Danio rerio: one gene and its partner. The protein of the gene in region 1 purifies or fractionates together with the protein of each later gene. This does not show direct contact. Links are inferred from orthologs where the notes say so. Each region holds a gene or a part of one and is shown in the gene's direction. Other genes may lie near its edges.

What was found.
Region 2: the proteins of strap (region 1) and szrd1 purify together in Homo sapiens (co-immunoprecipitation; 3 studies listed by BioGRID and IntAct, counting the BioPlex papers as one, with this or other methods). This does not show direct contact. The link is inferred for Danio rerio from reciprocal best matches to the Homo sapiens genes STRAP and SZRD1.

The regions. Positions count from the first base shown.
Region 1 is NC_133179.1:17,468,296-17,473,120, reverse strand, and holds the start of strap (serine-threonine kinase receptor-associated protein), read left to right. Parts: upstream 1-1,737; 5' UTR 1,738-1,927; intron 1,928-2,081; 5' UTR 2,082-2,094; coding exon 2,095-2,206; intron 2,207-2,638; coding exon 2,639-2,774; intron 2,775-2,854; coding exon 2,855-2,936; intron 2,937-4,307; coding exon 4,308-4,380; intron 4,381-4,476; coding exon 4,477-4,576; intron 4,577-4,653; coding exon 4,654-4,791; intron 4,792-4,825. UniProt on the Homo sapiens protein: The SMN complex catalyzes the assembly of small nuclear ribonucleoproteins (snRNPs), the building blocks of the spliceosome, and thereby plays an important role in the splicing of cellular pre-mRNAs.
Region 2 is NC_133198.1:27,446,095-27,450,663, forward strand, and holds the end of szrd1 (SUZ RNA-binding domain-containing), read left to right. Parts: coding exon 1-182; intron 183-2,705; coding exon 2,706-2,820; 3' UTR 2,821-3,720; downstream 3,721-4,569.

The DNA.
Region 1 (4,825 bases):
TTAATATGTTATTACAAAAATGTCATTACGCCAAACATTTTCATTTCTAAGTGAACTAACCCTTCTAATCACCCATTAGGCAGACGATCATAACCGACCCACAGCTGTGTAAATATAAAATATAAACATAAGTATTTTATTAGGTAACTTCAGCGATGGCGTTTGAACCGGTTCATAATAGTGAATCATATGAACGAACCGATTCGCTAGAATGATCGGGACCTCTCACACCCCCGTGTGCTAGGAAACAGTCGCGGTGCATGCTGGTACAACATGACTCACACGCTGATTTGCATCTGAAGCTTTCAGCGTTACTGTGTTACTAAGATAATGCTCAAATGAGAGAGGCGTCCTGTGTTTGCATTTCTGTTTTCCCCTCATGAAAATGTGTGCTTACAGTAGATCTTCATCTCTAATGGCCTTTAGCAAGATTTTCAGAGATGCAATTATGTAAGATTTGCAAAAAGCTGTGATTAATGAGTCATAAGCACTGCCTTTAATTTGGATGACGTTTAAATAGACATTGCAATGAGAACATAAAACATCTATCTATCTGTCTGTCTATCTATCTATCTATCTATCTGTCTGTCTGTCTGTCCGTCCGTCCGTCCGTCCATCCATCCATCCATCTATCATCTATCTGTCTGTCTATCTATCTATCTATCTATCTATCTATCTATCTATCTATCTATCTATCTATCTATCTGTCTGTCTGTCTGTCTGTCTGTCTGTCTCTCTGTCTATCTATCTATCTATCTATCTATCTATCTATCTATCTATCTATCTATATCTGTCTGTCTGTCTGTCTATCTATCTATCTATCTATCTATCTATCTATCTATCTATCTATCTATCTATCTATCTATCTATCTATCTATCTATCTATATCTGTCTGTCTGTCTGTCTGTCTGTCTGTCTGTCTGTCTGTCTGTCTGTCTATCTATCTATCTATCTATCTATCTATCTATCTATCTATCTATCTATCTACGTGCCTGCCTGCCTGCACATCCCTTCAGAATATTCAAAGAACTCCGTGAGTTTTTCCAGAAATTGCTCTAAGTCATTTAAAACAGGTGTGTCCCATGACAGTGAGGTTATCATGACATCAGAGCACACGTAGACATACCAGTGAGGCTTGCACGCAAAATTATCATTGAGATGTCTGAATGTAAAGCATTTTTACCGCAACCAGCCCATGTGTAATATTTATCCTGACCGCTCTATTCAAATAGTAATTATATCCTGTGCAGATGTTACTTACCTACAGGGGGCGCTTCGTGGCTCAGAAAGTTTACCTTATATATATTTTAAATAGCGTAAAGCTTATTGATTTATGGCACTGATTATTATTATTATTGTTATTATTATTAGTATTATTATTATTATTAACATGTTATTTCCTCACATTTGCCATAACGTTAGTTATATAACCATCCGTTAACAACACTGATAAACGAAGTGTGTCAAAGTAGTAACTTTCCTCGTTTGTAGTTCGTACTGAGAAAGCGTCTTCATATTAACGCTAGAATCTTTCCTATCCCAGATATTACATATTAGATAATGGAATTTAAACATAATACAGCACATGTTAGCACTTTATTTGTACATACACGTCCATTGGTAGAAAAACGGGATGTACGCTTTCTCAACCGACGCTACGACAGGTCACGTGATCCAGTTCTGTCCAATCCCCGTGGCGTCGCGGGCCGGAAATGATGGCCGGGCTTTCACACTAGTGCTTCCATTATGTTCCTGTAGCGTTAGCGAGGGCTCGAGTTTAGCTTACACACACACACACTCACACACACACACCTCGTGTAGCTGGTGGCACAGCACTGTAGCTGGGAGTGCAGCTCCGCAATCATCCCCGATACGCAATCTGGCCGCAAAGTACTAGTGTGTGACGTTGATTTGCTAGCTTTGCAAGGTAATGATTGTTTTTCTTTGACTAGCCAAGCTTGTGTTAGCCAGCACACCTGTTCTGATTTTTCATATGTACATCTCTTATTTGATACTTGAATTTTAAGAAATACGTAGCTATGTTTCAGTACAATTGCTTATGTGTCCTGTCATCTTTTTAGGTCCTCAGTAAGTATGGCCATGAGACAGACCCCTCTCACCTGCTCTGGTCACACCAGACCTGTTGTGGATCTGGCGTTCAGTGGAATAACTCCTTATGGATATTTCCTCATTAGTGCTTGTAAAGGTTTGTATGTACTTGGACTTAAAACCAACTCTTCACAGTAAACACAACCTCATTGCAGGGCATTGTTGGTTTTATAGTTGCACATTCATGCAGTGACCACTTGTGACATGCTCCCTATATTGTTCACCATGGTACTTTGAATATTCGGCTTGAAATCACATTTAATTATGACTTCAAAACAACATTATCACGTTACTTGATTGTGAACAATGTTGTGCTTTGATAGTCATTGGCTGACAATATGATTTTGCTATTTATAACTTGCTAATAATGTTTTTCTGAAATAAAATTAAGGAGAAAGTTTAAATATAAAACCATTTTTACCTACATTTGCAGGGCAGTGTGCTTAAAAAGTAAGCATTTCTTAAAATAAGTGTGTGCATATGTCATGTATCTGTCAAATAAGTTTGTTTTTGTGTTCAAATTTTGCAGATGGCAAACCTATGTTGCGCCAGGGTGACACAGGGGACTGGATTGGGACGTTCTTGGGTCACAAGGGTGCTGTCTGGGGTGCCACCTTGAATACAGAAGCTACAAAAGCAGCAACGGCCGCAGCAGATTTTACAGCGTAAGTGTTAAAGGAATAAAAGATGAACTGTTATTGTTGAAACATGAGTTTACTTTCTATATTTCTTATGAATCTGACAGGAAGGTATGGGATGCTGTCACTGGAGACGAGGTCCTCACCCTGGCGCACAAGCACATTGTGAAGTCTGTAAACTTTACACAGGTATTCCATGCTGATGTATAGAACGAGTTCTGCAAAATTGTGTAAGCCAAGAGTTATGGCAGATGAAATCTTGACTTTGTAATCTTGGAATATGATATACATTTCAAATTATATTTATGCACAACGTGGGTTTTTTAAATTATTATAATTTTATATTAGTTTTACTGTATTTTTGAATAAGTAAATGCAACTTTGGCATAACAGGCTAAATGTATTTATTTTAAACTACTTGTATGAACAAATGAATAAGTCATTAATTTATTCTAGTATCTAATTAAAACATTTTGCAACAATTTTAGTAAGATATAATACTGATCTATATTGAGATATTCAGACTATTTATGCAACACTTGGTTTATGAAATGATCTTACTTAAAATAGTTAACCTGTGGTCATTCAAAACCACGGGTTAACAGAATGCTGGCTCAATTTGCTTCATGATTCTCATAATTTACTTCGGCAATCAGTAAAGTTTCATAACTAAATGTTTCAGTTAGCTTCATTTTCAAATGTGAACCCTGACAGGAGAAACAGCATGTCACTGGGACTTTCCTTATTAAATTTAAACCACAATAGATAAAGTAATAAATAAAATGAAATAAAGTTTGGAACAATAGTAACCCATGTGTTCAATCACTCAGTACATTTACAAGGATACCAATGCAATTTTAATACGATTAAGACAATACTCTGATTAAGACTCTACCATATAAACAGAAATTTTTCATTAATTTAATCAGATTAAGGTCATAATCAAACTCTACAGAAATGTAATTAAGACGTGGCATATGCCGGTTTTAGTCACATCATTGACACTGTAAAGACATGTAAACGCAATCAAACTATTACCGTTGTGTAGGGTTTTTGCCACATTTTGCAATGGGACAGTCTATATACACACGGCTGTTTGACACTATTCTCTGCACTATCAAGTCAGTAGGACCACAGACATCTACAGTGTACATTGCGAAATGCTGAGTTTTTTTTTTAAAAAACCAATATCCAAAATCCAAAATCTCGTTTGTCATGGGGGCATGCATGAATTATTCCTGAATGAAAGTGCCAAACTGCAGTTAAAGTCAACAAAATAAAAATAAAACTCCCGAAATTACATGAAACTCCAGAGCAAATGTGGATAGCACGATGACGCAACAACGTTAATCAAACTATGTGCTATAGCATGTAAAAAGGGATCATGAAAGCAATATTCAAAAAGTAACTCATGTAAACACCTTAAACATTTTATTGTCTTATTCAGATCAAGGCAAATCATTTGATCACCGATTACTACATGTAAATGAAGTCACTTTCTGTAAACTTGCCAGAGTAATTTCATTTAGGAGTTTTTACCAGCATGTGTTGAACCAACAGGACAGTAACTATCTCCTGACTGGAGGAAATGATAAAGTACTGCGCATCTATGACCTCAGCAAACCTGAAGCAGGTATTGAAAGTTAAATAATAGTTTATTTGCTTTGATGATAGCCGCTTCCTTTCATAAATGCAAACCTGGTTTTAAAAAGTAACTTTTGTAATGCAGAACCCCAGGAGATTGCAGGCCACACTTCTGCCATAAAGAAAGCACTGTGGTGTAACAATGACCAGCAGATTCTTTCAGCTGCCGACGACAAAACCATCAGGTGAGTATCCCGAATGGTAACATCTTTTGACTTTACATATGCAGATAGATTGATTTAGTGTCATCTTCTATGTATAGACTTTGGGACAAGAACACAAACGAGGCGGTGAAGACTTTATCATTCGATGCATCTGTCAGCAGCATGGAGTACATTCCTGATGGGGAGACTCTCGTCATCACATACGGGAGAACCATCGCTTTCTATAATGCCCACAGGTTTCTATCTTTCATATCGTGCAAATATTACCTT
Region 2 (4,569 bases), on another chromosome or scaffold:
ATCCGTATTTTGAAGCGACCCTCCAGTAATGGATCTTTAGGATCATCTGCGCTGCAGACTCGACCCTCCCCGCAAGTGAAATCCTTAGCTCAGCGAGAGGCAGAATACGCAGAGGCCAGGAAGAGAATCCTCGGCAGTGCAACTCCTGATGACACGCCACAGGAGAGACCCAATTCAGACCGGTAAAAATACTGACCCGCCATATATAGAGGCTCTGACAGCGAACACTGATTTTGAGTGATCTTCTATAAACTTTTCCATGGATTCCCTCCATGACATCTATATATGTAAAGTACTCAGCGTAATTGAGGACACCCCATTTTGAAAATTAATATTTTTCTCCATTTACCAGTGAATATATGCAATGTATTTTAGTGTATTTAAACAAAACAGATTTATTAAACAGATATATTTATTAAAATAATATTTTAGTCACCAAACATATTTAGAAAGTAAAAGATAATACAATTCAATTCAAGCAAAATATTGCAAAAAATGGCTTCTGTTGATTTTTCCTCTTTTTTAAAATTTGTATTTTGTTTTTCTATAACATATAAATGTGGATGTACTAGTTTTTTTTTTGACTGTTAACGCAAGTACTTTTGTTAGATAAGCTCCTGATTTGGCTTCAGTACTGACTAATCTAATGTATATGCACACATAATATTGTATAGCTTCCTGTTAAAAATATGAATTTAAAAGAGAGGTTTATGAGGGTGTTCTTGTATATGCTGAGCACTGTATGCGATTATACGCAGTGCATTAGTGTCCACTCACTTTTTCAGCCGTGCAGGTTTTGGAGGTATTTTTCCCATGAGTATTTTACACTGCAAAAACTGCTTTTTTACTTTAGAGATTGAGTCTCGTTTCTAGTCCAAATGTCTAAAAATTAGTAAATCAAGAAGCATTTAGACAAGCAAAAACAAGCTTAATAATCTGTCAATGGGGTAAGCTTAATAATTTTATTTCTCAAATATTTTTTCTCACCCTGGTAGACATTTTCTCAATTTGACTTATTATTTCTGAAAAAGACGATATTTTGCTTGTCTAGAAAATGCTCCCTGTTTTAAGAATTTTTAAATATTTGAACTAGAAACAACTCGTAAACTTGAAGTTACAAGTTGAATCACAACACAATGATAAATAATAATTGCATAGCAAACTTTGATGCGATGCAAATAATTATATGAAAATCTGACAAAAAGTGTACTTGACAGCTAATGAGGGAAATAACTACAATTCCTGTTGTATAGTGAGTGACAGTCCAATGAGAAATTTAAAAATACATATTAAAAATATGCAAGTGTATATATACAGTACATATATACAAGAATTATAAAGCTGTATCTTTGAGTCATTTGCAATGCTTTATGGAAGTGGGTCTAAAGTGTTTTGCAAGCTGTTACTCTGATTAATGGATTTTTTTTTATATCTTCATGGGTAGGGACATTTTTAGACATTTTTTGCTATTTCTATGGAGAATTTTGTAAAAAAAAAAAAAAAAATTCTGTAAATGAGAAAAATTTACACAAGTAAATACATAGACTCAATCATGGGCTAAAAATCTGCGGATTTCGTGTGGGCCTAATCTTGGGTTAACTAGTTTCTCTGCTCAAATTCAACGCCCACCGATTTAACTATAAGAATTGAATGAATAACTACTGTAACTGTACAAATATATATACAAACAATTAAAAAACTTATAGCTCACAATGTATCTGTGTTTAAAGGTTTATATTAGTTAATGTAAAAGAATAATAAGAGTTTTTATATCTAGAACCGGTCTGTTGCACTCTTTAAGCTTCAGTTTTCAGTGTCACATGATCCATTAGAAATCCTTTTGATGTGCTAATTTTTCTGCTCGACAGATTTCTTTTGATCAGTTTTTTTTTGTTAAGTAATTTTGTGAAAACTGTAATTTACTACTACTAAAAGTTGTCATTAAATGGATTTTAAAAAGATAGACATTAAAATAGGGTTGCACGATACCGGGAAAATATGTGATGATTGCTAATCTCCATATTTAATATGATATAACTAACATGCAAAACGCTATTTTATCAGCAATTTATAAACATCATTTATGTAATGTTCATACTAAAATCAACAGGTAATAGATATTTTTCTGAAATAATTTAATGTAAAAATTAAAAACTATATTAATGTACAAACATTTCGACTTTAAAACACCATGAATGACTGAAAGTCTGATTCTTTTTGGCTGTTGTCAGAGGTAAAGTAAAGGCCCCATCTGATTGGTCAGATTTGGATAACCTGTGCATGCTGCACATAAAATTAACTTAATTTATTGCACTTCTCTGTGATAGGGACATGCATATACTTGGCTTTTATCTCTATATACTAGGGATAAATTATATTATATCAGATTGCCAATGATGCCAACAATGATAAGCTCTGGACTTTTTTTTACTTTTTTTTTATCTTATTGATCTAAGGGCCAATCACACAGCAGAAATGTGCAACCATGGGAATCTAGAAGTATATTGATATTAGATTTAAAAATCAAGCTCAGGATCAATTCAAAACAGAACAGCGGTGCATTTTAAAAAAACTAAAAATTGATTTCTGGAACAATTTTCCACCACAGCTCTATTTTAGATCTAAGGCTTCAGCCATAACTGCTACAAACAAAAAAACAAAGTGCTTTAATTTGTACATTTTACACATTGTCTATCTTCAACCAGATCTCCACGGGGAAGCAGCCATACACTTTCAGAGGAAAACAGACCAGGAAACCATGTGGTTCGACAGCCAGCAGGTCCAGACGGTACACAAGGCTTTCACCACCAGCGCAGATAGGAATAACAGCCTTTCCTGGGAGACCAGAAGAGGCGAGCGAGGGTCTCCCAGATTAGGGTTTAAATTCAAATCATTTTTATCAATATTTAGGATGTGGGATGTTCTTCAAAGAAATATAAAAAACCCTCTCGAATCCAGCACGGCCTGTGTGGAATGTACCGGGGGAAAGAAACACGATCTAGCGAAGCAGATGTGGGAAACTTTCCCTGCTTTTTACACTGTGATGAGGACCTCGCCTCCGGACACTGCTCACTGTGATGTCCAGCCCCAACGAAATCCCTTAAAAATTAAATGAAAATGGAGAGAAATGAAACAGAACTATCGTCCCTTCCTCACCTCATGTAAGCAAAATCCTCTGAAAAGACATTTGGGATGGAAGAAACAAGCGTGCTAGAAGCAACAGAAGAAAGGCACCAGCTTCCTTCAGCAATAATTCTAGAAATCTCACCAATTACTCAAACCTCCCTTCCACACTGTTCTCTCCAGCTTTTTGTATTGCTTGTGTTTGTCTTTTGTTTTAATTATTTTGGTTATTACCGGTCTGCTAATTGCCATATGTTTTTAAATGGGTAAGGAAGGTATGTTGTGGAAACTCGAGCTGACTTTCTTTATTGTTTACGGTTATCTGTTGTTGTTTTTCTTATGTTTTATTCATGGGTCTTCCTCTGACTGTCCTGATTTCTACATAAAGTAAAACGAATAAAAACAAAAACATAAGTAGAGAGTTAAACGAGTGCAACAATCACATTTTTAAGCCGTTTCTATGCCTTTTATAATATGATTTAAAGGTAGTCGTTTTTAGACCTGTGCATTTTAACGGAAAAGATGAGTTGTGTAAATATTTGTCGTGCTGGGAAGAACTGAAGAGAGGGTGAAACGAGGAGAGATAAAAAAAAAAAACAGGTTTTGCTGGCTTCCCTCGTCTCACTTTCTTAAATCTGCTGTTGGCCATTTTCTTCTCTCTCTTTTTGATTTATTTACTTATGTAGGAACTCAGGTTGTTGTGAGGAATTATGAGCGAATGAATGAAGTTGTGTATTGCTGGATAGGTTTTTTTTTGTTGTTTTTTTTAACTGAATGATGGTGCAATGTTAAGCGTACATGATGAAGTATGGCTTCAAGATCATTTGAAAACTCATCTATGACTACAGAATATCCTATAAGAGTTTATTTAATGTTTATTGAAACCTAAGAGAAATGTGTGTGTGTGTGTGCGCCGCACCAGTGGCTTAACTAAGCAACTTGTTATTGAAAGTGTTAAGTCAGTTGATCTAGTTGCTTTGGCTCTTGCAATACAGTGTCTATATATGAGGAGCCATACTACTACTTTTCTTGACTGTAACTCCCTGTTTATTTCTTTTTCTAATTTACTTTTCTGTGCTGTCCACGAATGAAATCTCATAACTCCTGCAGTTTATGAAAATACCCTTTAATCTGACGTGTCATCGTTCACCCATTGTGCTGTAAAAAAATCAGACCAGACGGGTTTGTCATGCCCTGCCTGAAAACACAGAAATCTGCCTGTAAATACTTTTCAAAATGCCCATTTAATAAAGACTTTTTAAATAATGCCTCTGGATACTGTTTGTTAAATGTTTAATCTTATGTTAATCCACTTTTTAAATGTGACTCTGGACCACAAAACCATCATAACTGTCAATGTTTTGATATTGAAATGTATACATATTGTAAATGAGCTTAATGTTGACTTATGGTTTAGGACACTATTTGACCGGGTTATCTACTTTA